Linked DNA regions of Elephas maximus indicus. The protein of the gene in region 3 interacts with the protein of the main gene of each other region in a biochemical or structural test. Links are inferred from orthologs where the notes say so. Each region holds a gene or a part of one and is shown on either strand. Other genes may lie near its edges.

Region 1 (7,317 bases), on a different chromosome or scaffold from region 3:
TGAAGTAAAAATCACTGGGTAGGATATACGTTAAAAGTCCTAGTTTTCCGGAGTCATGGGTTGCACTTACCTATTGCAAAAAGCATTTAAACATAACATTTGATTATCACATCAATTTTTTTTTAATTTCTCTTTTCAGCCTAAATTATCTCTGGAGGATAACAATTTTCCAAAATTTATCTGCTACTGTGAAATACTAGTTCCAATTTATTTCTTCTTGATGGACACTCACTTCTCCAAATAACCACAAAGTTGAAAAAAGTCTTATTCCAGCCCAATCCCTTTACTTTACAGATGAGGAACCTAAGGTATGGAGACTCATGTGATTCTGCCTCAAATCACACATAGCTGCGTCTGAGGCAGTGTCAGAATTTGAACCCAGGTCTCCAAGTTCCCTAACCAGTGCCTTTTCTATCCCATAAACCTCAGTCTATTAACCCAAGCCCCCAGAGGAGTCCTCAGTCAATTCGGTGTTCCCTCATCTGCAAGTTCCCTCCTCTTCTTATACCCTTGACAATCAGAGCAACCATTCTATGGATCTGCTTCCCCTCCATCATGGCATTTTAAGGTGCACAGTCTAACTGGACACAACGCCACAGGTACATGGTTCTGTAGGATGCTTACATTTTTTTGGAAAAATTTCTTCTCTTCCTGCCAGTGAAAGATGAAAATTAAATCCTGAGTATTCACCAGTAATATAACCTCATGTTCTAATCTTAATATCATATGTCAGACACCCACAAAAGCTTTGGTGGCAACATTCTTATATGTTCTTGAATAAGGTGGTTCAAGTCTCCATTCTAAATTGAGCAGTAAAAAAGAAGATAGAAGCTATTTTTCAACATTGGCTCTTTCATTAAATGACCTGGTAACTATTTATATGGCAAATTTAACCTAAAACCCTTGAAAATTAATAGCATAAGGTAATAAAGGCAAATGAGTATGAAAGAACAACAGCAGGAATACTGCCTTGAATTCTGTCTCCTAAAAAATGTACAGCCCCTTTAAATTTCTGGATATTATAAAATTAGGCCTTTAAGATAACAAGGTGTTTCTTACTGGTTTTCTTCTGCTGTCCCCTGCCTTAGAACGGAAGCGGTAGTTTGTAGAGATTCCTTTTGGACTTCTAAAAACTACTTAAGTTGATATCCTAGTCTTCACAGAATATATTAAAAAACAACCAACGAACCAAGATCTAGAAAAAGCCATTATTTTATCGTATCTTTGGTAAGTAAAAGCAAAGAGTAAATAAAAAGCAAAATAAGTCCAAAATAAGTATCTGAGGCCTTAACGGTCAAACGAGTAGTTGAGAAAGAAAAATGATTAAAGCAAATCACTTTTCAAACAGAATCTCTCTCTTAAGGAAGTTTACCTAACTCTTAATGACAGAACATCTGTTTTGGTTATCAAAAATGTAACGACCTAAACATATGCAATCTATGCCCTTACTCCTTAATCCTCACAACAACATTTTAAGGTAGGTATTTCTCATATTCATCCTGTACCTGAGGAAACTGGGACACTGTGAAGCGAAGGAATTTGTCCAAGGTTGAACCCAGCATGAACCCAGTTTTGTAGGTTTCGAAAGCTGTAGGCACTATATGGCCTCCTTGGTAGCATAGAAAATTTGGAAATAAGGTAAAATTTTAGGTTTTGTCTGATGCATTATTCAAGCCACCGTGAATCATTTTGTTTTCTGTTATCATGAAAAGCTCAAGTTTGCCACCTATCCTTCCGGAATTTAGGCTGGGTGAGTGGCACAAATGAACTGTTTTCTCTCTACTCTTATCACATAATCAGTCACTAAAACCCATAAGGAAGGGGAGTAGCTAAATTCTTTAAAATTTATTTCCTGCTGCCACTGTTATACCTGATCTTCTCAATTCAAGCGTTATTAACCCTAACACTTGAATTGAGTAGATGTAACACTGCACTAAGACACTAAAGTTATCATTTACATCTTTTAAGGAAATAAACTGTGCATTAGTCATTATACCTGTCAGAGAAGTTAAAAAAAAGACCAACAGGATATAAATCTGGGTTGTTTTCTTCTTTAAGAGAAATTCCTTAATGATTCCTTATTTTAAACCAAATGGAATAAGTGGCCCACCAAAAGTGAAGTATAATAGAAAAGGAAACAGAGGAAAAGAATCACAAGAAGTTATCTGGTGACCCACTTTCACTACTGTTAAAATAGCAAAGGATGATTCTCCTCTGAGTAACTTCAGGCGGACCTCAAAGGCCACTTGTTACACCTACCACCCACTCCAGCAATTCCAGGTTCATTAGGAATGAAAAGAAACCCAGCAAGATAAAGGACATACTCCAACCAGGCCTGAAGTCTCCCCACCACATCCTGAGGGCTAGAGGTCCAGAGCAAAGCTTCCCCAACCCCCAAGCCTCCCAGGTTGTCCAGGAGGCAAAGCCCACAGACTGGGGCCAAAACAAGTCCCCGGGCCGGGGCAGTGACCCAGCTCTAGACAACCCTGCCCGCGCTGGGGGTGGGGGCAGGGGAACTGGTAGGTGGTGGCAAGAGCAAGGAGCCCTGGATAGGAGAAAAACAGGCTAAGTGGATATTTTGAAACGAGCCAGGGTCCCTTCCCAGCCTCGCCGATCAGGACGAGGCCCGGGGCCGGGGAGAGAGCTGGCCGCCGCCATGATGGGGCTGCCCGAACCGGGGGGCGTAACGCGAGAGGCCCCACACGCAGGGCCAGCGTCCCTCTCCCTGCCTCCCCGCCCGCGCGTGGGCCACGGCCACAACTGTCCCCCGATACTCACGCTTTGTCCACCAGCTCCCGCACCTTCCACATGTTCAACATCTTGCCCCGCGCAAGCTCGGCCGCCGCCTGCCTCTCCTGCTCCCCAGAGACCCCGGAGCACTTCCGTGCTGGGGCAGGTCCAGGTCGGGGTCGCCGCCGCCGCCCGCCGCCTCAAACTCCCCCAGTCGGCTCCTTCCCTTGCCACAGCCTCGGCGCCGCCAGTGACACGTCGGGACTCGGCGGCAGAGGCGCTGCGTGGAGCGGAAGCGCCCGACTTTCCGTCCGCTGAGCGCGGAGCACGTCGGAACTTGTAGTTTTCTGTGCCCACAGAACGGGCCCGTTGCAGTTGAAAGAAGATCTGGGGTACTAAGGTTGAGACGATTTCTCTTCTACTCCCTTTCTCCCCACTCAGGCAATCAGAAATCCTTGGAATGAAGGAAAAAGCAGAGTTGGCCGACGACTTATCTTCTTTGTATGCGTTCAACAGGTATTTATTGGACGTCTTTTCAGAGTCCGCTCTATTGCAGGTACGAGGGATGCAGCAGAGGACAAAGCAGAAAATCCTTACCTTCGTGGAGCTTAGATTCTAGACGGGGAGATAGCTAAAAAAAAAAAGAACGAGTATATATTAATAAAAAAAAAGTTGCCATCGAGTTAATTCATACTCATAGGAACCATACAGTACAGAGTAGAACTGCCTCATAGGGTTTTCAAGGAGCGGCTGGTGAATTCGAACTGCTAACCTTTAGGTTAGCAGTGAGCTCTTAACCACTTTGCCGCCAGGGCTCCAAGTATATATTACCAAACCAACAAACCAAACCCAGTGCCGTCGAGTCGATTCCGACTCATAGCGACCCTATAGGACAGAGTAGAACTGCCCCCATAGAGTTTCCAAGGAGCGCTTGGCGGATTTGAACTGCTGACTCTTTGATTAGCAGTCGTAGCACTTAACCGCTAGCCACCAGGGTTTCCAAGGTATATGTTAGAAAGTGTTAAATGCCATAAGAGAAAATAAAGCAAGGAATAACTCCTTCTTACAATTCTGGAACACCTGCAACGATAGCGGAAATAACATAGAAGACTTATTATACCATGTGCCAGGCACTTCGCTAAGCTCTTTACACAGATGATCTCATTTAATCTGCACAATTTATTTTGTGCCATACACAGACCTCTGCTTTTTCCAGATTAGTTTGTTTAATCTCACTCTTCAAAAAGAAAAGGAAAGGAAAGCTTTGAAAGTTTGCACAAAGGCATACAGTTTGTTAAAAGATAAAGCTGGGGATCAAACCCAGGTGGCTGAGCCAGAGCCTCGGCTTCTGATTCCTCTGCATGTCAACCAACATGCTATAAGCTGGTGTCAGAGTTGAATTTTTCACATCTACCATGTGTTACAAGAAGGCAGCCATGGCAACTTTCCCTACAGAAAGATGGCTTTTCATATTACAACAGAACACACCAACACTAAGGACTACCGGTGTTTGAAGATATCCCTTGAAAATTAGTGATCATCTCACCTGAGCCAGGGTTCTGGCAATCCCTTGTGTAAGATGTACAGAGCAGTCCTCTGTGGAACAGGAGCCAGTTTAGACAAAATGACCCACAAAACACTGGGATGCCGTATCATAATCCCTCTTAACAAATCCACCTGGACACAGAAGACAGAGGAGCAGCTCAGAGAAAGGACAAGCAGAAAAATCTCTCAGATACAACTTCCCTTGGGCCTTTTGGCAGAGGAAAACTCTAGTAAGCTGAGAGGTTCCTTGCTTCCAAGGAAAGGCAAATGACTCCCCAAGTAGGTGAGTGGGTAGGATGAGTCACACCCCTCACTTGGAGGAAAGCTCAGATTGAGGAGATGAGAGGAAATCTGGATCCCAGTCCTAGTTCTGCCCCTTACGAGCCACTTGACTTTGGGAAAAATACTTAATGTCTCTTGGTGACTAAATGTCCTCATTTGTGAAGCAAGGATAACAGTCTTTGCCCTTCCACCTTACAGATAATGGGTATAAAAAAACCCATTGCCGTTGAGCCGATTCTGACTCATAGAGAGCCTATAGAATAGAGTAGAACTGCCCCATAGAGGTTCCAAGGAGAGCCTGGTGGATTCAAACCGCTGACCATTTGGTTAGCAGCCTTAGGACTTAACCACTATGCCACCTTACAGATACAGGTGTAGCGAGGATCAAATGAGATAATGGGTTAGTTAGTGTAAGATAGCAGTTCTCAAAATGTGGGCCCAGTGTCAGCAACATCAGCAGCCCCTGAGACCTCGTTAGAAATGCAAATTCTTGGGGCCCTGCCCCAGACCTACTGAATCAGAAACTCTGGGGGTGGAGCACAGCAGTCTCTGCTAAACAAGTCCTCCTGGTGATTCGCATGCACATTCAAGTTTCAGAACCACTGGTGTAGGATCATGCTTTTCAAATGTAAAGTATTACTATGTTATGAGTAATGACTATAAAGAAGTATGATTGGCATATGTGTCCTTTAATAGATGCATTGCTGTATTTGGTTACTAATATCCAAATATACTTAGCTCTCTGGCCCTCAGTTTCCTTTCCAACTGCAAATTGAAGAGGTTTTCTAAAATCTCTTCTACTCTAATTCCGTGATACAGTGGGTTTATACTTAGGTAGCCACTGGATGTCCTTGTTAGATACTTTACTATAAAGCTCAGAAACTCAGCTCATTCTCCATGGGAAATGGCTATAGAAAGACAACACTGTATATATGACACACCCAAGAACTTGGCAGGTTTATGTTCTTAAAGTGTAATTATGCACACATAATCCTTTAAATGTTTTGTTGCAATGGTGTCATCACTTCATTTCTCACTTATCCATCTTTGTCAATGTTTATGTTAATGGTGCAAGTGACTTTAAAGCCTGTTTGGTCCAACTGCCTAAATTTTATAGTTCTTTTCATTCTATAAATATTTATGGCACACCAACCTGCCAGGAGTGGGGAACTCAGTATAAGACAGAGAAGGCCCTGGCTTTCTTAGAGCTTAAATGTTGTTGGAGAAAATAGATAATAACCAGGGACATGTGTGATAATTGCAGAGAGTAAGAAATTAAAAATAGAATAAGCTAATGCAATAAAGAATGATGTTAGAGGAGGTTAACATTACAGAATACTTGTAACTTCTTTGAGGACATAATATTTAAACTGAAGCTTGAATGATAAAAGGAAACTAGCCATAAAAAGATCTCCAAGAAAAGCGTTCTTGGTGGAGTGAATAGATAAAGGATCTGATTCACAAAGGAGAAGTGAAATTGATTGTGTCTAGTATTGGAGCTGAGTCCCTGAGTATGCAAACAGTTAAGTGCTTGGCTTCTAATCAAGAGGTTGTTGATTTGGGGCCCTGGTGGTGCAGTGGTTAAGAGCTACGGCTAAAACCAAAACCAAACCCGTTGCTATCGACTCCACCTCATAGTGACCCTGTAGGACACAGTAGAGCTGCCCTATAGAGTTTCCAAGGAGCACCTGGTGGATTTGAACTGCCAGCCTTTTGGTTAGTAGCTCTAGCACTGAACCACTGCACCACCAGGGTTTCCAACTAACCAAAATGGTCAGCAGTTCAAATCCACCAGCTGCTCCTTGGAAACCCTTTGGGACAGTTTTACTCTGTCCTATTGTGTCACTAGGAGTCAGAATTGACTCCATGGCAATGGGTTTGGTTTTTTTGGTTTAAAGGTGCCTTGGAACAAAAGGCTATGGAGCACAGTTCTACACTGACACACATGGGGTCGCCATGAGTTGGAATCAACTCGATGGCTTTTTTTTTTTAAGTCATGGAGGTAGGAGTCCCTGGGTGGTTCAAAGTGTTAATTGTGCTCAGCTCCTAACTCAAAGGTTGCTGGTTCAAGTTCACCCAGAGGTACCTCTGAAGAAAGGCCTAGAGATGTGCTTCTAAAAAATCAGCCACTGAAACCCTGTGGAGCACAGTTACAATCTGACGCACATGGAGTTGCTGTGAGTTGAAATTGACTTCAACAGCAACATGTATCGTCATGGAGCTAGATAACAAAAATCCCAAATCAAGAACACAGAACCCATGGTCCTCCAGGTCAAGCTATCTTTTTTGTGTTACATCCACTTAATTACTAGAGGCAGTTCTGAAAGAGGTTTCAATAAGACTTTGGGGTTAAGGCCCAAGAGAAGCAAGTTGAAAGAATTGCCAGGCAGAAAAGTAAAACAGTAGAAATCAGGACAAAGCCTATCTCAGAGCTTTGTCAGCATAGTAGTGCTTAGGTAGACATAATGGAGTTAGAGAGGAGGGTAGGGAGGGGCGGGTAAAGATAAACAGAGATAGGTAGAGAATTGGGGCTTTCAAATAAGAAGTTTGTGTTTCCTGCTGAAACAACTTCTAGCTGAAGTTCAAAGAATGGAATATAGTCAGTAGAGATAAGAAAGAGAAACTCTTTTGCATATTTAAGACCTCAGTAAGTTAACTTTCAAACCAGTGGGTCCAGGGTACAGCTGCAGATTGAGCCTGGTACAAAAATAACCACCTGGCCCCCACCCAGGCTCACAGCAGTTCACAATCAACCTCACC
Region 2 (6,991 bases), about 20 Mb from region 3:
GGAGGGAGGAAGGGGCTGCAGGGAGATGCGTGCACAGTCACGGCTCCCCTGCCCCTTGCTGCGTGCGTTAAGGGAGAGAGTCACACCTGGCAAACGTGAACAGGGTGATGCCACCTTGAGTCAGGTAGGGGGAGGGAGGGAGAGGCTGGGGGAGCAGGACAGGACGGGACGAGACGCACAAACCACTGGGCAGGTTAAGGGATGGAGTCGCACCTAGAGGATGCATGCACAGAAGTGCTGCCTTATGCAGATTGGGGGAAGAAAGAGGGAGAAATGGGTGAGCTCTCTCACAGTCCCGCTGCCCTCCACTGGGCCCTTGGTGGGGCGAGTAGGTGGCAGGCAGGCACACCTGCGGGGGTGCACCTAGTCTTGCTCATTGGGTAGGCAATGGGGTATAGTGGGTGGGGTTAGATAGGATGGGGGAAAGAGAGTAGGCTTGTATTGTGCTTCTCCAGTCGGGCAAGGTAGTTGGTGTTTGGGACCCTCTGCCACCTCTGATCAGGAGGATGAGTTGAGGGGGAGTGCGTTCCTCCAGCTAGGATACACGGGTGCCAGGGCACCATGTGTCTGCTGCGGCCAGCGAGTGGGACCTGTCGCCTCTCAAGTTTGAGGAAGAGGGCCGCCCAGGGACCAGTTGGGTGGGAGAGCTCCCGTGGACACTCCATGGGTCCACTGCCTTGTGTGCACCACTCACCCCTGAAGTCAAGAGCTGCCACACCTGAGTATCCCAGTTCCGGATCTGGCACTCTACCTCTCTCTGCTTCTTTCTGTGTGTGTCTATAGAGGTTCTCTGTCCCTCTTGGGAAAGTTGTGAAGTTGCCTTGCTGTTTCTTCACCCAGGGTCACTGCTGGTCTTGTCCTAAGTTAGCCAGGGTGAGTCAGGATGGCTGGCTGAGCTCCTCCGTGCCGTGTTACTCCTCTTTTGCTGCTTTTCTTATTCCTTCTAATTGGTGTTCAGTTCAGTTCTTAGACCTTTTTTGATGTTCAGGGTTCCTGGATTGTTATCTGCTCCTGTTTCACTTGTTTGTTTTAGGTCTTTGGTGCAGGGGGATGTTATGGTGAGTGACTGCACCTCCATTTTGGCTCCACCTCCTGACTTTCTTTAATACCTTTCTAAAGTTGTCTTTATTGTTGTTGTTGTTAGTTGCCATCCAGTCAGCTCCAACGTATGGCAACACCATGTACAACAGAAGGAAACACTGCCTAGCCCTGTGCCATCTTTACGATTATTGGTATGTTTGAGTCCATTGTTGTGGCCACTGTATTTCAGAAGCAGGTTGCCAGGCCTTTCTTCTGAGGCACCTCTAGGTGGATTCAAACTGCCAACATTTCGGTTAATAGCTGAACACTTAACCTTTTATGCTACCCAGGGACTCATATGGCCACTGTATTTTGAGTGCCTTCCAACCTAGAGGGCTCATCTTTTAGCACTATATTGGACAATAGTCTATTGTGATACATAGGGTTTTCTGGGCTCATTTTCAGAAATAGATTGCCAGGCCTTTCTTCCTAGTCTTAGTGTAGAAGCTCCACCGAAACCTATCCACCATGGGTGATCCTGCTGGTATTTGAAATACCAGTGGCATAGCTTCCAGCATCATAGCAATACTCAAACCATCACAATACAACGAACTGACAGATGAGTGGTGGGGCTTTATATTAGTTTAATATTTAATACAGTAGTTTTTATGTCATGCAGACCACATTACCCTTCTGTCCCAATAACACTTCAGATATATAGCATTAAGTTCCAGTCATGACCCTTTGATCAGGGTCAAATTTGGATAAAAGTGATTCATGATTCCAGAGACTATGGCCCCCAGACACCCTGCTAACTCAGAAATGAAGCCACTCCTGAAGTTTACCCTTCAGCGAAAGATTAGACAGGCCTATAAAACAAACAACAGCACACGTGAGGAACGTGCCTCTTAGTTCAATCAAGTATATGAGACCAAATGGGCAACAAGTACCCGAAAACAAAGGTGAGAAGGCAGGAAGGGACAGGAAACCTGACAAATGGACACGGAAAACCCAGGGTGGAAAGGGAAAGAGGGAGAGTGCTGACACATCGCAGGGATTGTGAACAACATCACAAAACAATTTGTGTATAAATTTTTGAATGAAAAACTAATTTGCACTGTGAAATTTCACCTAAAACACAATAAATTTTTTTAAGTGATTCATGAGTCTGAAAGATATGCATGATCTAAAGCTTGAAAGGGGTGAAGAGCAAGCTTAGAACTGAGGGGTGATGGAACTGAGTGGGAGCACTCGATGGACACAGCCTGTTTTGAACCTCAAAGACGTTATCAGAAGCTGCACTGTTGTGTGTGTTACCGTTTCTTACATGGAAAAGAGGAGGGAGAGGTGTAAAGTTAGTTCATTGGGCGGGAGGTGGTATAGGAAAGGAGCCCTGGTGTCACAAATGGTTAAGCGCTCGCCACTAACCGAAACGTTGGCAGTTCGAGCCCACCCAGCGGCTTGGTGAGAGAATGACCTGGCAATCTGCTTCCGTAAAGATTACAGCCAAGAAAACCCTATGGGGCAGTTCTGCTCTGTCACATGAGATTGCTGTGTGCCAAAATCGACTTGACGGCATTTAAAAACAATAGTATGTGAAAAAGGAGAAATACCTTACCTCCATAACCCAGAAATGTCCATAAATCCATCATCCTCCTCCAAGTTCAGGCACTTTTACCCCAGCATGACTCTTCAGTCGGGCTCCTCTTTCTCCTCCCAGCTAGCTCTTTAGTTCAAGTGTTCATCATCTCCCCTTTACTAGCTTATCTATAGATAACTCCTCTCCCTCCTCATATTCTTGCCCCACTCCCTCCACCCTCCACTTTGCCCACTATTATCTCCCTAAAAAAATAAATCTCATCATCCCTGTTTTCAAAACTGCTACTGGTTCCATGTGTCCTGAGGAACCTCCTTCCTTCACCTGCTATACAAAATTCTTCCTAACCTGTTCAGTCTTCCTCTCCAGCTTCATTTCTCCTGCCGCTAAACCCACTTAACCCCACACTTTACAATAGGATATGCTTTTTGCCCTTTGCCTTCCTCACTTTCTATCTCTTTGGAATATCCTTTCCCAGTTTCTGCCCATCCTCAAGATTGTCTCCCAACGCCCCTCCTCTGGACAGCCTGCAGTCCCTTCACCCCGTCCTGGCCAGAGGCTGTTACTTTGCATAGAATTCCCGGGATCATAATACCTGTTGATGTGTCTCTTCGACAACACTAGGAAGGCAGGGCCATGTTAATTCATGCCTGGGTCCCCACCGCCTAGTGACAGGGACTGGCACAAAGTAGGATGATGGATGGGTGGGTGGGTGAATGGAAGCTGGGATAGGGAGGTGGAAAGAGAGGGGTAACCCGAGAAATGAGGAAAAGGAAGCCCGCAAAGAGCAAAGACAGACACCAGGGGGAGCTGAGACACCACCATCAAGCCGGAGGGCGGGGCAAAAAAGGCTGCACGTTCTGGGAAGAGCGGGTAAGCAGCGCGCAGTAAGGTAAGTAACGCGCAATTGTAAGCGCGCACCCACGTGTGCACCCCCCCATGCCCCTTTCCACAGCGTGCTTCCGCGCTTTCCACCGCCCGCACCACCCACCTCGCCTCCACCGCCGCTAAGAAAGCAAACAAAGGGGAGGGGACCCCTGCAGGGTCGGGATGCCGGAAGCCAATCAGAGGGCTCTCATTTCCTGGAAGGTGGGAACCTTGGTTTAGGGAAACCCAATGAGTTTCTAAGGGAATGTGGAGGGGCGGGGAGATGGGCGGGAAGGGCGGGGTGGGCGGGGCAGGGACCGTGCCCGCCGGGGAGAGCTCCGGGGAGAGGATGAGGCGGGGGCAGACCCAATCACCGCGCATGTCTGTGAGGAGAGGGCGGGCAGCGCCGCGGAGCGCGCGATCCAGGCTGACGCATCTGGTCCGGGTTCCCGGGGGGGGGCCAAAGGAGAGGGTGGAGGAGGAGAAAGAGCGGAGGGCGCGCCTGCGCAGTGGCGCGGGGAGGAGCAGGGACCTGGCAGCGAGCGAGGAGGTTGGGAGTGAGCCGCGAACCGGGCGGGCTGCGGGCGGCGGGCGTGCGCACCATGGGGGAGAAACCCGGGACCAGGTAAGGGAGGTGGAGCCACGCGGCGGGGCATGGGCGGCGGCTCGGGGCGGGTGCCGAGATAGTCCTCAGACTAGGACACCGGGGAGAGAATCCGTGGGGCCGGGCGCCTGGGTCCCTAGGGGACAGCCATCCGGGGCCGCACGCCTAGGTCCTCCAGGATAATGGGGGCGCATGCCCGGGCCCCTGTAGGAAGTCAGGACTGAAGGGGACCAGGGAAGTGGTGTCCGGGTTCTCGCAGGCATATGGGGGCCGGACGCCTGGGTTCTCTCGTGCAGGCTGCGATGCAGGAGCGGAGGAAGGAGGAGCAGGTGGCCAACCCTGAGGGGTAGTATTTGGGAAGGCTGGACGTTGGGAGGGGTGCGCCCCAGACTCGTGCAGAGCCAATAGAAAGGCTCGTGTCCAATACCCCACAGGCAGTTGTGCTGCCCCCACCTGTCCCAAGGGCCGGGTGGCTCTGCTTCCAAACTTCTGCCTTCCCTGGGTTGCTAGGAGCAACAGCTTCATCATGGGGGAGCGGAGTGCTTGGCGACCCTCCCTGATTCTGGGCCCTATCCCTTGGCCCTCGGGTGGGGGTGGGCAGTGTCTGCCCTGGGCACGCCATCCACTCCCCGGATGTTTTCTGTGCAATCGAGGCTCTTTCTCTTTACTGACACCCCGAGTTCTCTTTTTTGATCTCTAGCAAAATCCACTTCCTGTTGTGACCCAACACCCCCAAGTAGGCAGGTGTGAATCCCAGAGTCCCTGGGGACCAGGAGCAAAAGAGGAAGGGTTGGAGCTGAATATGCCTCAGCCCAGACGGGAGCAGGAATGCAGGCCAGGTGCTACCTAACCTGTCAGCTTGTTCTGTAAAATGTTTTTCAGCCCCAGCACTCCCCACCCATTGAGTATGAGAACTCAGGTTTCTGAGTATCAAGTCCACAAGAATTGGAGAGATATGATCAGGGGGAGGGAGGACTGATGTCCTGGGTAAGGACATCCACAACCCATAGAAAGGGGAAGTTGCTGACTTGAGGCCCCCAGTTTCCGTTATGTGGTTCAAGGACGGATGGACTACAGGGGGACTGCTGACTTGGCACAATTACCCCCACCCCCAGCAAATTCTGGGCCACAGGAAGTAGAGAGAATGGCAGGAAGTGCAAGAGGCATCTGCTTCTACTGCACCCCCACCTTACTGGACACCTCCCTGGTCACCCCGCACCCACCTCCTTGGCCAGCCTCAGTATACACACACTGCTCCTCCCTAGCCTGGCAGGAGGTGGCTGGGTTAGGATCCAAAGGGCAGGTGCCCCGCAGCTACTCACAGGCGATTGCTCCAGAGCCATACTCCAGTTGGCCACTTGGTTGTGGCTGTCACAGCCCTCTGCCAGGGCTCCTCATGGGAGGAAACACTTGAACAAAAAGAACAACCAGAAGCAAGTGAGGTCAAAGTGGGGGGAGAGCCTGGATGATGCCATAGCAATCAGCCCCCAAGTTGGGACTAGAGGTAGAATGCTCGTCTTAGCTGCCACCACATCTATGCTTTGTTCTCCTGGATTGGTTGGAGGTATCTGGGGCCTCCCTGCCCTTACAGCTTGGACAACTCGGCGTTTTGGGGAAGAAGGGGCAAGTGAACTTGTTATAGCAGAAACAGACAGTGGGGTTGGAGGAAGGATGGGCCTTCTGGCAGGATTTCAGCTTCCACTATCTCAGGGCCCTTTCCAGGGATAGCTGCTGAGGCCCGGTAGATTGGAAGGAGTAAAGTGGTCAGGCAAAAAACAGGCCTACAAGTGCCAAAACCAAACTTCCCTACCCTCCCAGCAAGGGCTAGAGTCCAGGCTTGTGTTGTTTCAGCAGCTGGGGGGCAAATCCCATTCAATTCAACAAACGATTAATGCCAATTACAGAGGCAGGACGGCATAGTGGTTTACTGATTAAGAGCATGGACTTGGGGCCAGACTGCTTCAGTTTGTATTTAAGTTTCACCATTTACTCTCTGTGACTTAGGTAAAACAGTTGACTGTTCTGTACCTCAGTTTCCTCACCTGTAAAATAGCGATATTAGGATTTTCATCATTGGGTTGTTGAGAGTATTAGATGAGATAAACGCATGAAACACTTCGAGCAGCACTGGGCATGGCGCCTTCACCCAATGAGTGTTAGCGAGCATCATTATCTTCATCATCTGGCTGGCATTGTGCTGGGGATGCCTAAAAGAATAAGGCCCCTAGTGCTCACAGTTTATCCAACAAGAGACAGGTGAGACACGCTTTGTGTGCTATCTCACTGCAAGTAAAGCATGAACAGTGTGACAAGAACCAAAAAAACAGAGTGACCCAGGGTCTTGACTGGGTTGCTTCCCAAAAGAGGTGACATCTGAGCTGGGTCATGAAAGATAAATGGGCTTTTAAGCTGCTGAGATCAGAGATGGGGAAAGTTGGAGGTTAATGGAGTAGGGTCAGACTTGGGTAGTTCTTATGGTGGAAGCCATTTTACGGGCAAAGCCCAGGTCCATTGCTCTTCCAAGTTGGGGCTGTCGTTGGTGCTGGGACATCTGCCCCTTTCCCCATGAGCAGGGGGAGACTAGAAAAGATGGAAAGAGGGTTAGGTGTTACTCAAACACTGCTGCAACCTGCCCATTCAGGTCCTCTGGGAAAACCTGGGTGGTTCCTGTGGCAACCAGTAACCATTAACTGTGGGGTAAGGGGGGCTACTGAGGATGGACCAAGGATAAGAGAAGGGGGATTTGCCATGGCAACCTGCTTCATGTGGTTGCGATGCTGGAAATATTAAGGAGTTGATTACCTTTTCTTCTGGGAATAATGGGAGGCGGTGGGGCTGGGCAAAGCCCCTGGGCAGGAATCCTAGGTGAGCTCTGCTTCCTGGGCTGGGAAGGGACAAAGTCC
Region 3 (7,103 bases):
CTATGGGGCAGTTCTACTCTGTCCTCTAGGGTCGCTATGAGCTGGAATTGACTCAACAGCAACAGGCTTTTTATCAGCCTAAACATCCTTAAAAAAAAAAAAACCGCATAACTTAAAATATTAATATTCATTTGACGCAGATCCAACCCTCAATGACAGATCCTTCAACTGGTCAATGTAGTTAAGGCCTACAAAAATAAATTCATTTACAGTTCAGGTTTTGAAGCTATAACGAGCTAAAGCTCCAAACTTAAGTTCCTCATTTCTTGTTCCCAGTTTTTATCCAAAGCGTTTCAGAAAGTTTTCTGCTATTTAGCAAGCTGGCAGAGGGTCAGAGGTCAAAGACTTAAGTTGCCAATTAAAATAATTCTTATTAACTAAAAAAAAAAAAGGAGAGGATAAAGATGAGAAGTCAGGAGATAATTATCCTGGAAGAGGTTGATAATTTGACTCTCTCTGCAATTTAATCATTATCAGCTCGAGCATACAATAGCTAAGTTTATCACTCCAAAAAATGGATATCTTTTTTTTTTAAAGTATATTCACAAAGCTACTTTATACTCAAAACTTTCAAATTATTTGAGAAGGAAATGGCTTCACTCAAGTAACTGGAGAAACTTCAGACCACTTAGAAATCAGGCCTGTATTAAATGTCTTCAGTTGGTGATAAGGCTGGATTCTGTTTTGTGCAATCATTTAACAATTCTTGTCTCCTCTTTAATAAAAATAAGCTATTACTCAAACCACCATCGGTCAACCAAAAAGATTTACTAGTGGGTTATATCATGGATTGCCATGAGTTGAATTCAACTCAGCGGTAACTGATATGCCTCAGCCATGTAAACTAAGCAGCAGCTGTACCTGCTTCTCTTGTGTATGACTTACAAACATTCATCTACAAAAAGGCTTATTTCAAATGCACTTTACTGTGAGGAAGAGCCTGCGGTTTCCGCACACCTAAAACCAGTATTTTTCTAACCCTCCATATTCAATTACCAGCCCCCTTTAACAGAGGTAAACACAGCAACTGGATTGAACATAAAAAAATAATTTCTCCATGTCCATTCTGTTACTTAACGTTTTTAAATCCTTTGTAATATAGTGGTTTTATTGCCGAGGTATATTCCATTACTTCAGATGAATTATTCTGCAAACTACCGATGACTGAAGGAAGTACACTATTTAACTAGTTTTACAGGTAAAGGTTTATTATTCATTACAATTCAAGTCTTAAAGAAAAAGAATTTCTTGATGCAAGTTAAAATGATAACAGCTGTAAAGAACTATGAAATTATGTTACTCACATCTTGAATATTAAACCTTTTTATTAACAAGAATCCTCCGGGGATTCTTGTTAATGAAATGGAAGAAAGTAAATAAAATTGCCTTGAATGGAAAAATATCCAATAGGTTACTAATATTAGTGTTATGTGTATACCACTGGGTCCTCTAACATTATGTATGAAACTTGCTCTTCAGAAGACTGAGTTTAGGCAGACCTCTTTAAGAGGGTATGTGACAAGAAAACAAGTTAATATGAATGAATTATTTCAGCCAAAATGAAAACTAGATAGAAGCAGGATTGGTGAACTTGGAAAATCAGAAGCTCAAAAGGCTTAATTCAGTCAAGCCCTCCAATGATCACCTGCCTAGCCCAGCCAGGACATGCTGCCAGATAAGACAACAGTTACGTTGCCTCCAGGATAAGACACGGTAGGGAAAAAATTCTAGAACCTACTAAAGGGAAGCCAATTACAGACCAAACAACCCTGGACAAACGTCTCAAAGCAGGTGTGCTCTATCCCCATAGCTGTTTTAATTCCAAAAAATCCTGAAGGAGCTACTCACGCCAAGCGCACAACAATCTGCTAGACTCCAGCAGACCCCAAAATAACCTCTGAAGAGCTCCTTCCCTACCTCCTAGAACCAAAGAGGGGCTAAGAGACACACCACTCCTAGAGAAATCAAGAAACGGAAAAAGGCTAATTCCCCCAGGGACCTTGACCCCAAGCACCCTGAGATTGACACCGCCCTGAGAAATACGTTCCCCCATTCTAAACTCCTTCTGTGACCTTGTTTCTACTGCCTTAGGGAAGGCAAGATACAAGGCCGCCTCCCCCCCGCCCCCCACCCCGGGGGAAGGTGCCTTTCCCAGTTGAGAGCCGCAGAGGGAGGAAGAAAAAAGGTTGCTCCTCCCCAACCCACCCGCCCCACAACTCCTTAGTGCAGACACGAAGGTGGAGAGGGAGAAAGGCAATGAGAAATGACAGCCCCCGAATGGCCCAAGGGGTAATGAGAATCCATGCTCCAGGAGAAACAGGAGAAAATCTCTCCCCATCCACCTACCCAAATGAATGAACGGAAAAAAACAAGGAGGGGGGAGTTAGTACATGCAGTTCTTCCCATCCAGGAAGCAAGGTAGAGAGATCCTGAGATCCAGGCCTAGCAATGACGCCCTTTGCACCCTGACTCTTGTCCTTTCCAACCAAGCCTCACAAGATTTCTTTAACCCGTTAAGCTTTCCAAGACAGGCCCCCCTCCATCTATCCCAGGCACCGACACCCACCACTCCCACCCCCCGATACCGCTCTTTCTGCTTAGGCCTATACTCCAGCTTCTTCCTTCCTTCCTACCCTCTCCGCAGCCCTCACCAGCCCGAGCCCAGCCGCACCTGGAGATGCTCCTGAAAACGAATTGGCAGAATCTGGGCCATGGCGCTGTCGGGGGGTACGGTCTCCTCCTGTCACTGGGACTGCGGGGCAGCGGCTGCCCGGGCTCTCCAAGGGAGAGGAGGAGAAGGGGGAGGGGGAGGCTGGGCTCAGTAGGATACTCTCCGGGGACGCAGGAAACTGGCAGGCAGACGAAAGAGCTCGGGTCGGGGGCGGAGGCTCCAGGGGCCAGGAGAGCCGCAATGGCGGAACCGGGCGCAGCGCAGACTCCGGAAACGGCTGAGCCCTGCGGAGGGATCCCGGCGACAGAACTCCGCCCAAGTCGCCTCACCCCCTCCGCTTTATGTACCCCTCCACAGAGTGCCGCGATACTGCCGGGCGGAGGAATTAGGGGCGCAGTGCGCCGAGAGCCTCGCGTACTGATGCTACACGGGTGTTAATATAAGCACCGAAGGGACTACTTTTTGGACTCATCACTTTCCCCCAGCCTCCTTCTATTCCCTACCCCCCCTTTTTTTTGCATTTTGCCACATCATGCGACAAGGGGCAACTACGTCATTTCCGTGGGCGGTTCAAGTCCCACCCACATACTTCCGGGCGCACGTGACGCTGGTAGGGAAGGGTCGGCTGATCGCTGCCGGAATGAAGAGCGGGTTCTCGGGAAATGCGGAGTCTCCTGGGAATGAGGTGGCGGTTGGGCCACCTTAAGGAGCGGCGGGTGCTGCTCCTTCCCCTGTGACCCTTGCCTATTTAAACTGGGTGCCTTACGAAGACGAGGCGTGGGCTGATGAGCCCGATCTCCCACCCTGTCCGTGACTCAGGGAAACTGCTTCCCCGCAGAGCGCTCTCTTGGCAGCTAGCTGCCGCACTCCTCCCCCGCCTGGTTTTTTATAGTGGGTGGTTTCTTACATCTCCAGGACTGGGGCAGCGAAATGGGGTTTTAAATCCTCGCAATCACTACACACGCGCTTCTGACGGTTGGAGAACATGACGCGCGGATTCTAACTAGAACCAGCGTTCTCCTCGGGTGTTAAATATTTGGCTCAAAGGACAGTGAAGGCCATTTATGAGGTATCTCCAGCTGGCCTTGTGATAGCTTCTCTTAAGGTTTCTGCGGACATTTTGGAGGACATCTATCCGCCTAGTTTAGTAATCAAATAGTCCAGTGTAAAGAGTTTGAATATCATAAATAAGCTAGAAGGTCTGACCAAAATTGTAGCAAGAAGCTTTTCTTTTTAGCTACGTCAAATCATTCTGAGTCTCAAAGATTTGGATTATTCAGTTACGGGTGCTTGAAAGATTTTTCCTACGTGAGGTTAACGTCCACGCGTGGAGGAAAGGGATGAACTATTAGCCATGTATTTCAGTGGGACCACCTCAACAGTGCCTCTAGGTTTAGCAATGTTTGGGAATATAAATGCTTCAAAGACGGGGCATCGTATCTTCTAACAGCATTAAGGTATCTACAGCATTCATTGTCCATTAATAATAACCTCAGCACCTTATTGCTAACGTATAAGGTGTTAATAGTATTTAATAATTGAATCAATAAAGGATAAAGGCTTCTGTGGCTTTCATTTCTTGTAAGATGTTATTTTTTCGAGAAAAACTCAAATACACAATTTTTTTAGTGCCTTTTTCACTTAAACATAAAACTATAATTTTGTTTTCTATATTAAGCAGTTTTGCTTAGTGTGAAAAGTCTCCTTACTCATTTTAGCTGTTTTTGTCTCACTAAGGATGAGAGAAGAATGTGTGGTAGGTAAGAAAGTGATTAGAGACTGTTTTGTAAAGAAAAGCCTTGCCACCATGTTACAAGAGAGAACATCTATGCTGAGCAAAATTTCGTTTTGTATTGTTAAACCAAATACTTGAAGATGTGTATTCTGCAACATTTGAAAGCATCTTTCTACTACGAGTCTAATAGCTGCTTTAAATCCTTTTTGGAAGTAGATCAATCCTCAGAAATCTAAGGGAGCTACTGTTTTATTATAGTCAAAGGCACTAGCTTAATCATTTCAGTCTCAGGTTCTTGGATACAAGAGCTATATATCATGAATCAGCTACCAATTTTTTTCTTCTATTAGTGTCTTGCATTTTCGTACAGACCCTGTAATTTTAAAGTATATTTGAAATCCCAAAAGCAGTTGATTTATCTTGGATACTTAGTATGGAGTATCTAACAAAAAAAGTGTACTGAGTTTCTCTTAAAGTGACTGCGGTGTCATCATACACAGAAATCTAATGAACGCATTATTTTCAGAAATAATTTGAGAAGAAAAAATAGACTGCAGTATACTAGTGCATTTTGAGCACTATAAACAAATCCAATTTTTTTCAAGAGTAAAAAGGTCCAGATGGTAAACATTTAAAAAAAAATAAAACTATGCCTTTTAAAGATCAAAATTTGGGTGAGGTAATAAGACATGCTTTTTATGCTGTTCTTTAATGGTGTAGAGACAGGAGAAAGGTTGAGAATCCCTACTGTAGAAACCCGAAAGGCTGAGGCACTGTTAACAGTTACTACAGCAATACCTAAATAAGCCAGGAAACAAACCCTGCGACCCAGATTTTTTTTCCCCAACTATCACATAGTCTTTTAATAAGACTGCTGCTATGAATGAATCATAACCCTGGTCTAGCAAGGTACCATGTTAAATAAATGGTCGACTCTTTAAATTTGAAGCACTTTTTAACCAGAATGTTCATCAACAGTAGGCCCTTACCGTCAGTCACAGCAACTGCCATTAGCAAAAACTACATTGCTTGGTCTGTTTTGAGGAGTGCTAAAAAAACCAAACCCAGTGCCATCTAGTCGATTCCAACTCATGAATGAGGAGTGCTAGTTTCTCAAAACCTATACAGCAAACCTTTATAGTGCTCCTTATTTTATACCAGGAACTAATTCCTAATGGGAATGACATCTCAAAAAAACCTTCATTGTAGGATTCCTCTGTAGCTATTATCTTCAAGCAGCCCTGGCACTAAGGTTAATAATGCCTTTTAACTTGACATTTTAAAAACAGCTTGGGCTAGCTGCATTGCATGAGTCAAAACAAAGGCATTTCTCAGACATTACAGATTAATTTTAAAGTAAAACTTCAACTCACTGCACCAAATAGTTGATAATTAAGATTTTAATGAAACCAAGAGGTATATACTTTAGCATTGTCCAAGTAAGATAAGTAGCTTTGCCATTTAAACATTTCAGTCCCCTAGAGCCACTGATACAAATCCCAGTAGGATTATACCCTCTGGTCTTTTATCTTTTCAAAAATGATAAACAGCAGCATATCAAAGGCCAGTAAGAAAATGAATATCCTTTAGGGCTCAGGTATTAATCTACAGTGCCCACAGTATTTTGGCCCTGTACAAAACCCAGTGCCATTGAGTCGATTCCAACTCATAGCGACCCTGTACAAGGCACTGATTATAGGCAAGACTCCCTCAAATGAATGAAACATTTAAAAAGCAAAAATTTAATGGACTTTAGCATGAAGTAGACCTGAGCTTATATTCTTGACATCATTCACTGTTCAGGCTTATCTTAAACCTAATTTGTAAGACAAAAAAACCAAACCCGCTCTAGTGCAGTTGATTCAGACTCAGCGACCCTATAGGACACAGCAGAACTGCCCCACAGGGTTCCCAAGGAATGGCTGGTGGATTTGCACTGCCACCCTTTTGGTTAGCAGTCAGACACTAAACCACTGCACCACCAGGGACCAGGGCTCCACCTTTAAGTTCTATAAAATGTTATGGATGGCAATAAGATCTGTATTAGGATTGAGCATGTTCCTAGTGAATAGTTAAGACTAACCCTGTGGGGATCTAACCTGCAATCAATCTATCACACTGTATAGGCCTCTCCTTTGTTTTTATAGGTGAAATCAGATCCCAAGCAGAGGGATGCGTGGCTGATAGCATTACCTTAAAAAGTTATCTCAGAAAAGATGGTCCTCTTCAAATGTAGAGATGCACAGAGCATTGTGGACAGAAAAACTCAGAAGAGTTATAACCCTGATGATCAACAGGGAGTCAGATGCCTTTTCATATCCAAAAACAAAAATTACAAACTTGAGAGGATCTATAGAATGAAGGGGCCAATTTATGGTGATTGAGGGTAAAGGTATAGGAATGATTGTTATGGACTGTTTTTCTCCTTTCTAAATATGCAGAATTGCCTCTTTTCATCTCCTAGAGTTATTACTATTTCCAGTTCAAAGCAACACATTACCCACACATGTTCCCTCAGCAATACTGAAATTTTTCCACACTCCTAGGGATAGTTTTGCCACTACCAGTGCACACCTGCAGCGTTATGGTAGTAAATTCGCTCTTCTTTAGAACAGAAAGGACTGTGATTTGGTAAATAAATTTTGGTTAACTCAATAATAAAGTTTCAAGGAATTATCTAATTTACACCAACATTTT
Region 4 (7,824 bases), about 4.7 Mb from region 3:
TGATAAAAGCCCTGAGCCCTAAGGCTCAGGTGGAGCTTCCTGATTCATAACCATACACGGGAGAGGATGATGCGTTCCTTTTTGGGACACGGAAGTTCTGTGCCCTGACCCCTCCCAGACCTCACCCTATGTGTCTCTTCATTTGTATCTATTTTTTATTGTAATAAAGCTGTATCTGTAAGTGTGGTGTATTCTTCTGGGAATTCTGTGAGTCATTCCAGCAAATTAGCAAACCCACAGGGCAGCAAGAGCCAGCGGGGGCGGATGTCTGCCTGTTTGGCAGTGGGAAAGAAGGCATCCTCTAACATGTGAGCTCTGACCTAGGTCGGGGTGGCTGGGGCTGAAAGAGTGTGTGTGCCTTGTGAGCGGCTAGCAACAAGGATGGAGAAGTGGGAAGGTGTAGACAGGATCCATTTCCACACTTTGGGAATTGGATTCATGCTGATCCTTACTACACAGTCAGCAATGAAGGCAAAAGTTGACCACTGTGCCCCTTGCTTAGTGCAGGGACAGAGAGTGGGTGGTGTTTGGAACTGGATCCATCAAAAAAGAAAAGAATAAAGAGGTCAGAGATAATCCTATGGGGGGAGGTGGCATATATAAATATTAAAATAAGGAAAAGGAGTATGGTAGAGTAAGAAGAGTATTTGTTCCAGGGTTAAGATATTTGTATTCCTTTCTTTAAGGAGATGGATAGGAGCCCTGGTGGCACAACAGTTAAGCTCTTGGCTGCTAACCCAAAGGTTGATTATTTGAACACACCCAGTGGCTCTGCAAGAGAAGGACCTGGTGAAATGCTTCCATAAAGATTATAGTCTAGAAAACACTATGGGGCAGCAGCTATCAGTTTGGCAGTGGGACTGCACCCAACAGTAAGGAGATGGATGGTCTTGAGCCAGCCACTTGCCTTCTCTGGGTGTCACTTTTTTCATCTATAAAATGATGCGGTTAGAAATTATGTGATTTCTAAGCTAATGTCCAGCTCTGACAATCTAAAATTTTAGTGGTAAGAACAAAATCAAATAAAATGAAAGTGACTCTTAGCTGCAGAAAGCCTGATGATAGGTCAACTTCTAGACACGTGAACTTGCAATATTTTGTACAGTCCCCTAGAATCTTGCTTTTTTCAAAGTGAACCAGTTAAGGGTACCATCTACCATCTACGGCTTTACCCACAAGAGGTGACATAGCACAGAAGTTGAAGGTCCAGGTTTTGGAATCAGACAGTCCTTCACTAACAATATGACTTATGAAAAATTACTTCAGTTTTTCCAATCTAAAATAGAGTAATAATGGTATTGACTTCATGAAGTTATTATGGGGATTAAGTCAATCTATCTCCTTCAGGGTCTTCCTCTTTTTCACTGATCTTCTACTTTACCAAGCATGATGTCCTTCTCCAGGGAATGGTCTCTCCTAATAACATGTCCAAAGTACAGGAGATGAAGTCTGGCCATCTTTGCTTAGAGGGGTGCTCCTTAGAGGAGCACTCTGGCTGTACTTCTTGAAGACAGACTTGTTTGCTCTTCTGGCAGTCCATGGTATGTATATTCCATATTCTCCGCCAACACCATAATTTCAAGGCATAAATTCTTCTTCAGTCTTCCTTATTCACTATTCAGCTTTCACATGCATATGAAGCAATTGAAAATACCATGGCTTGGGTCAGACATACCTTAGTCCTTAAAGTGACATCTTTGTTTTTTTTTTAACACTTTAAAGAGGTCTTTTGCAGCAGATTTGCCCATTGCAACACGATGTTTGATTTCCTGACTGCTGCTTCCATGGGTGTTGATTGTGGATCTAAGTAAAATGAAATCCTTTATAACTTCAGTATTTTCTCCATTTATCACAATGTTGCTAATTGGTCCAGCTATGAGGATTTCTTTTTTGTTGTTGTTGTTGAGGTGTAATTCATGCTGAAGGATGTAATCTTTGATCTACATCAGTAAGTGCTTCAAGTCCCCTCTGCTTTCAGCAAGCAAGGTTGTGTCATCTGCATATCGAAGATTGTTAATGAGTGTTCCACTGATCCTGATGCCACTTTCTTCTTCATATGGTCCATCTTCTCAGATTTGTTCAGCATACAGATTGAACAAGCATGGCAAAAAGATACAATTCTGATGCACACCTTTCCTGATTTTAAACCATGCAGTATCTCTTTGTTCTGTTCAAACGACTGCCTCTTGGTCTATGTACAGGTTCAGCATGGGACAATGCAGTGTTCTGGAGTTCCTATTCTTCACGATGTTATCCATAATTTATTATGATCCACACAGTTGAATGCCTTTGCATAGTCAATAAAACACAGGTAAACATTTTTCTGGTATTCTCCGCTTTCTGTCAAGATCCATCTGACATCAGCAATGATATCCCTTGTTCCATGTCCTCTTCTGAATCCAGCTTGAATTTCTGACAGTTCTTTGTCGGTATACTGCTGCAACAGCTTTTGAATGATCTTCAGCAAAAATTTACTTGTGTGTGACATTAATGACATTGTTCAATAATTTCCGCATTCTGTTGGATCACCTTTCTCTGGAATGGGCATAAATATGGATCTCTTCCAGTCGGATGGCCAGGTAGCTGACTTCCAAATTTCCTGCCATAGACTAGTGGGCATCTCCAGTACTGCATCGGTTTGTTGAAACATCTCCATTGGTATTTCATCAATTCCTGGAGCCTTATTTTTCGCCAATGCCTTCAGAACAGCTTGGACTTCTTTCTTAAATATCCTTCGTTCTTGACCATATACTACCTCCTGAAATGGCTGAATGTAGACCAATTCTTTTTGTACAGTGACTCTGTATTCCTTCCATCTGCTTTTGATGCTTCTTACACATCATTCAATACTTTGCCAATTAAAAAAAGAAAATTGCCTTCAAGTCGATTCCCACTCATAGTGACCCTACAGGACAGAGCAGAACTGCCCCATAGGGTTTCCAAGGAGTGGCTGATGGATTCAAACTGCGTATCTTTAGGTTAGCAGCTGAGCTCTTAACCACTGAGCCACCAGGGCTCCATTTGCCCATCCCACCCAAACCCAGTACCGTCAAGTCGATTCATCATTTGCCCATAGAATCCTTTAAAATTGTAACTCGAGGCTTGAATTTTTTCTTCAGTTCTTTCATCTTGAGAAATGCTGAGTGTGTTCTTCCCTTTTGATTTTCTAACTCCAGGTCTTGGCACATTTCATTACAACACTCTGTTTCTTGAGACACCCTTTGAAGTCTTCCGTTCAGCTCTTTTACTTCATCATTTCTTCCATTCACTGTAGCTACTCTACATTCAAAAGCAAGTTTCAGAGTCTGTTTGGTTCTTCCCTTGTTCCCATTCCCTGATGGAAGGCCACTGGATATCAACACCAACCTAAGCTAAAATTGATTTTCTCTTTAAGGTTGCTTGACTATAGGATGCAGAGAAGGCAAAATGTTTTACTAGAGGCTATAACATGGAATAGAGATTAGGTTGGTGATGTCACAAAAGAGGTTTTGAACAGTGTCAGCAGAGACTGCAATGATGACTAAGGAAGTTGATAAACAGTATCATCTTAAACCGCAACTCACCCCAGGTAAGCAGATGGAGAATATTAATTACGAACAGGGCTAATCCCATTATGAGAAATACCATCACAATGAAAATGTTTCATTCTAGATTACAGAATCCCTGGTAGTGGCTCACTTAGGTCAAGAAAAATTAAAAATAGAATTATGGGGGGATAAAAAAAGGGGTAATGGGAGGGAGCCACCTTCCTTGGTTGGAGTGCACTGCAGTGAGCTTTGACCTCTATATTAAAATAAATAAGACCAGGAACATCAGTCACACTAGATCGCCGTTCTTCTCCTTCACCACCATTTCCAGGTCCAAAAATGTACTAGCGGGGCGGGGCCTGAGATGACTGCAGGAAGCGAGAACCTACAGCATAGATGAGCCCATCTTCAGGCTAATCGGCATCTGCCGGGAGACAGACACCCCACTTCCTAGCAGGCTCAGGCCTCCCTGGAGATTCCAAACCGATGTCAACTGGGTGCAAAGGAAAAGGAAATAAATTCAGGTTCTGAAAGGGCAGCTGCAGGAAAGGGTTGGGTCTCTCAAACTCAATTACTTTCTAAAGCAGCCCTAAAGCCAAACATACTCCCTATTTGAGCCAAAGAAAAGCCCCTCTCCTCTTCTCATAACCAGGCTGGAAAACACAGCTCCCAGGAGGTGGTGTTAAAAACCAATAGTTTGCTTGGCAGCGCCCTATGGTCCCTGGAGGAAACAGGAGAGAAAAAAAGGGCCTTGACACCTGGGAGGCTCCCAAGGCCAATCCCTTCTCCTTCAGCTTAATAAAAGGTAGGGAACACACCTCCCCTCCCGGATCTTTGGGGCGGCGGGGTAAATACTTGGAGTTATTAAATTCACTCGGTGGTCAAGTATTTATTTGGTGGGTGCCAGGCACTGACCTAGGCGGTTGACATCCGCCCCTTAATTCTCATAATCCTGAGATTTGTGTGAGCCCGTATTTCCCTCTGTACAGAGGAGGGTAAACGAGGCACAGAGTGAAACAACAGTTACCCAGGAAGCGGCGGGATCACAGCCCGGGTGGCTAATTCCCAAGCTGTGGCTCTGGGGCCGCCGGCCCGTGGGTCGGGAGCGGGCACTCCCGTCAGTCACGCGAGCTCCACGCGGGGCGCTGCCTCCCCGCAGTCCCGCCGGGTGCGCGGCAGGTGCGCAGAGTGCCTCTGCGGCCCCGCCCCGGGTCCCTGCCCGCGCCGGCGCCCCGCACCCCGCAGCTGCCGGGCAGGACGCGCCGCCTCCGCCCGAGCCGGGGCCCGAGCGCCGCGAGCGTTCGGGCGAAGAGGAGGAGCCAGGGCCACCGAGCGGGTGGAGTCGGGAGCCGCAGGGCGGTGGAGGCGGATTTCCTGGGCCCGGCTCTCTGGCGCTACCATGGCGTTTGGGAAGAGTCACCGGGATCCCTACGGGACCCCGTTGGGCCACCTCATAGGTAAGGAGGCTTTGGGGGTCGGGGAACCCTTTCCGCTTTACTCCACTGTCGGCTTGCGAAAGACCGAGTTAGTCCAGGTTTGAGGGAATTCTCCCCTTCCCCCCGCCCCGCAACTTTCCCAGGGCACCCACATTCCACCCGGCGCCCTACTAGACAATTCTGTCTTGTCGACCCTTCCCAGAACCTGCTCTTCAAAATTTACCTCCTTGTGATGCCTCTTTGGAGAGAAACAAAACAGGTGAAGCGCAGGATTCGGGAGTGGAGTTTGGGTCTCTACAAGGAGTGACCAGAAACTTCTCTGCCAGGGAAAGGTTGTTCATAAAGTGCGTTTCTCGCGGGCCCGATATTCTGTCCGTTTGACCGATGTGGAAAAGGAGGCTCAGGGAGGTTAGGTGATGAGACATGTCTGTGAAAGCCAGGTCACTCCAAACCGTTTATCTGGCCCCAAGTTCATGCAACCTGAGTTGGTGTTCTCAGAAAACAAAAAGCATAAAAATGCTCAGCTGTGGAGTGAAGGGAGCGCAGAGGAGAGGTCTGGGGCCACAGGATGGCTACAGAGGCCACTAGGGGACCACCAGGCATCTGCCTCACTCATTTCTCCCGTGGCTGGAGTTCGCATAAAGCATGCGGAAGGAGAAGCCTGTGACTGTACTGTTTTACCTGACCAGCTCGGTTCTCTCGCTTCTCTCTGGTTCCTCCCTTAGGAACCGGGTGTGGTAGGACTATCATGGTGTCGGGAACTTAGTCGGGTGATGAAATCCTGAGAACTTGGTAGTTACAATAAGGAGGCACAGATTTGAAGAGTTTTAGTCCCAGCTCAATTAACCGCACTGTGGCACCGAGCATGCTACCTAACCTGAATCTTAGTTTCCACATCTTTATAAGAGGGCAAAAGTAACTAATCATACAGGGTTTTTTTGAGGAGGTAAAGCTTTCTAAACTGTTAATGGCTATCCCCATGTTGGATGTTGGATATTAAAAAGAGCCCTGAGTAGAAACATATTCAGACGGTGTCTTCATAGGCAAAAGTAACTTCAGCAATAAAAAAAAAAAAAAAAAAAACCCTATTTACCCTCCATTTGATTCCAACTCATGGCGACCCCTTGTTTGCAGAGTAGACTGCACTCCATAACCATTCGCCTATCTTCCCAGACGACTGGGAGTTGGAACCCTGTAAACCACTTAAACATTTGTGGTACACAAGGACACAAATCTCGGCCATAATTCTGATAAATTCTTTAATGTCGTAAACATTTGACTCCCAGCTATGTGCCTGGACCTGGACTAGGCACTGGTGAGGCCAAGGTAAGACATGGTCTCAAATCTCAGAGAACGCACAAACTTGTAGGGAAAACGTACACAATATTGTAGTAACTACAATACAGTATCTTTGCAATACAAGAAAACACAAAATGCATAAAACTTAAGAAGAGGGAGATATTAACTCTGCCATGGCTTTCAAAGGGTGATTAGGAGTTTTCTAGGATGTTGGGAGGAAGAACAAGGAATAGGAGGGGAACATCTGGCAGAAGAAACAGGAGCTTGTGCCTAACATCTTGAAGTTGGTCAGCTTTGTCCATTCAGTGCCAAATTCAGATAGCTCTTTTCCTAGATGGGAAGCAGGCTGAGCTTTGGGGTTCCTCCAACCAGGCACTTATTCTTTCTTCCCCTTCATTATTCTTTTTAATTCTTTTCTTTGCTTAACCGCCACCCCCCAGCATCTTGTGTTTTCGCGATGAGGTGTCTCTCTTCTTTTATAAGAAAGATGTTAAACTGATGCGTGTTGAGTGTTCTATCACCCTTCACAGAGAGCATTTTATATGCTTAAAGGAGATGTCTGGAGAAGTACAGGACAGCTTTGGTTAGTATAAGTGCCGAGAGTGACCGTGCTCTACTGCAAACCAAAAACCAAAAAAACCCATTGCCGTGGAGTCTATTCCGACTCATAGCGACCCTATAGGACAGAGTAGAACTGCCCCATGGGGTTTCCAAGGAGCGCCTGGTGGATTTAAACTGCTTACCTTTTGGTTGGCAGCTGGAGCTCTTAACCACTATGCCACCAGGGTTACAGGCCAATTCAGTAGTTCTGATATTTCTCTCTCTCATGCTCCGTCCCCCCGCCTCTATAATGATAAAAAAACAAAAACCTGGGATAAGACATAGGTTTAAATCCTTTTTCTACCTCATACTGGCTGCATTACCTACCTTGTATTGTGTAATTTCCTTAACCTCTCTGAACTCTGTTTCATCATGTCTAAAAGTGGGTTAAATGAGATGCATAAGATAAAATACTTACCATTGTGCAGTTCACTTTGTAGGTAAATATTCAATAAGCCATAGTTTCTCTCTCTGCCAGAACTTGCAGATGGAGATCCAGCCAGCCTGGCCCTGCAGTCTTTGTTGGTCCCACAGTATTTATTAATCGGTCACTCATTACTGTTGCAACATCAGCATTCTGAACTTGAGTTCTGATTGATGCCTGAATTTACTGGGAATTGTTCAGACAGAAAAAAAAAAAAAAAAGTCCCTTGCCCTCTGTTACTATCAGTTTAATGGTTCTTGCTAGTTAACCCCATGCAGGTTATTTCAGGAAGACCAGGCATGTTTTATTCTGTTGTAGCCCAGTCTCAACAGCTTTTTCTTTGCAGAAAAGGCTACGTTTGCTGGAGTTCAAACTGAAGACTGGGGCCAGTTCATGCACATCTGTGATATAATAAACACTGTCCAGGATGGGTGAGTACAGTGTGTTGTTCATTTACTTGCCTCTGCTAAGAAGCGTGAGAACCACAGTGCGTTTTCTCTTGCAGACTCTTTAATTTTCCTGAGCATTTTCATCATCC

What was found.
Region 1: the proteins of CLTC (region 3) and CLINT1 form a complex in vitro, tested with the Homo sapiens proteins (2 studies listed by BioGRID). The link is inferred for Elephas maximus indicus from reciprocal best matches to the Homo sapiens genes CLTC and CLINT1.
Region 2: the proteins of CLTC (region 3) and ARRB2 form a complex in vitro, tested with the Homo sapiens proteins (3 studies listed by BioGRID and IntAct, with this or other methods). The link is inferred for Elephas maximus indicus from reciprocal best matches to the Homo sapiens genes CLTC and ARRB2.
Region 4: the proteins of CLTC (region 3) and TOM1L1 form a complex in vitro, tested with the Homo sapiens proteins (2 studies listed by BioGRID and IntAct). The link is inferred for Elephas maximus indicus from reciprocal best matches to the Homo sapiens genes CLTC and TOM1L1.

The regions. Positions count from the first base shown.
Region 1 is NC_064820.1:174,388,491-174,395,807, forward strand, and holds the start of CLINT1 (clathrin interactor 1), read right to left. Parts: upstream 3,016-7,317; 5' UTR 2,820-3,015; coding exon 2,779-2,819; intron 1-2,778. UniProt on the Homo sapiens protein: Binds to membranes enriched in phosphatidylinositol 4,5-bisphosphate (PtdIns(4,5)P2). May have a role in transport via clathrin-coated vesicles from the trans-Golgi network to endosomes. Stimulates clathrin assembly.
Region 2 is NC_064837.1:14,365,938-14,372,928, forward strand, and holds the start of ARRB2 (beta-arrestin-2), read left to right. Parts: upstream 1-3,991; 5' UTR 3,992-4,086; coding exon 4,087-4,109; intron 4,110-6,991. UniProt on the Homo sapiens protein: Functions in regulating agonist-mediated G-protein coupled receptor (GPCR) signaling by mediating both receptor desensitization and resensitization processes.
Region 3 is NC_064837.1:34,475,611-34,482,713, forward strand, and holds the start of CLTC (clathrin heavy chain 1), read right to left. Parts: upstream 3,019-7,103; 5' UTR 2,714-3,018; coding exon 2,672-2,713; intron 1-2,671. UniProt on the Homo sapiens protein: Clathrin is the major protein of the polyhedral coat of coated pits and vesicles. Two different adapter protein complexes link the clathrin lattice either to the plasma membrane or to the trans-Golgi network.
Region 4 is NC_064837.1:39,179,176-39,186,999, reverse strand, and holds the start of TOM1L1 (TOM1-like protein 1), read left to right. Parts: upstream 1-4,823; 5' UTR 4,824-4,926; coding exon 4,927-4,984; intron 4,985-7,632; coding exon 7,633-7,717; intron 7,718-7,824. UniProt on the Homo sapiens protein: Probable adapter protein involved in signaling pathways. Interacts with the SH2 and SH3 domains of various signaling proteins when it is phosphorylated. May promote FYN activation, possibly by disrupting intramolecular SH3-dependent interactions.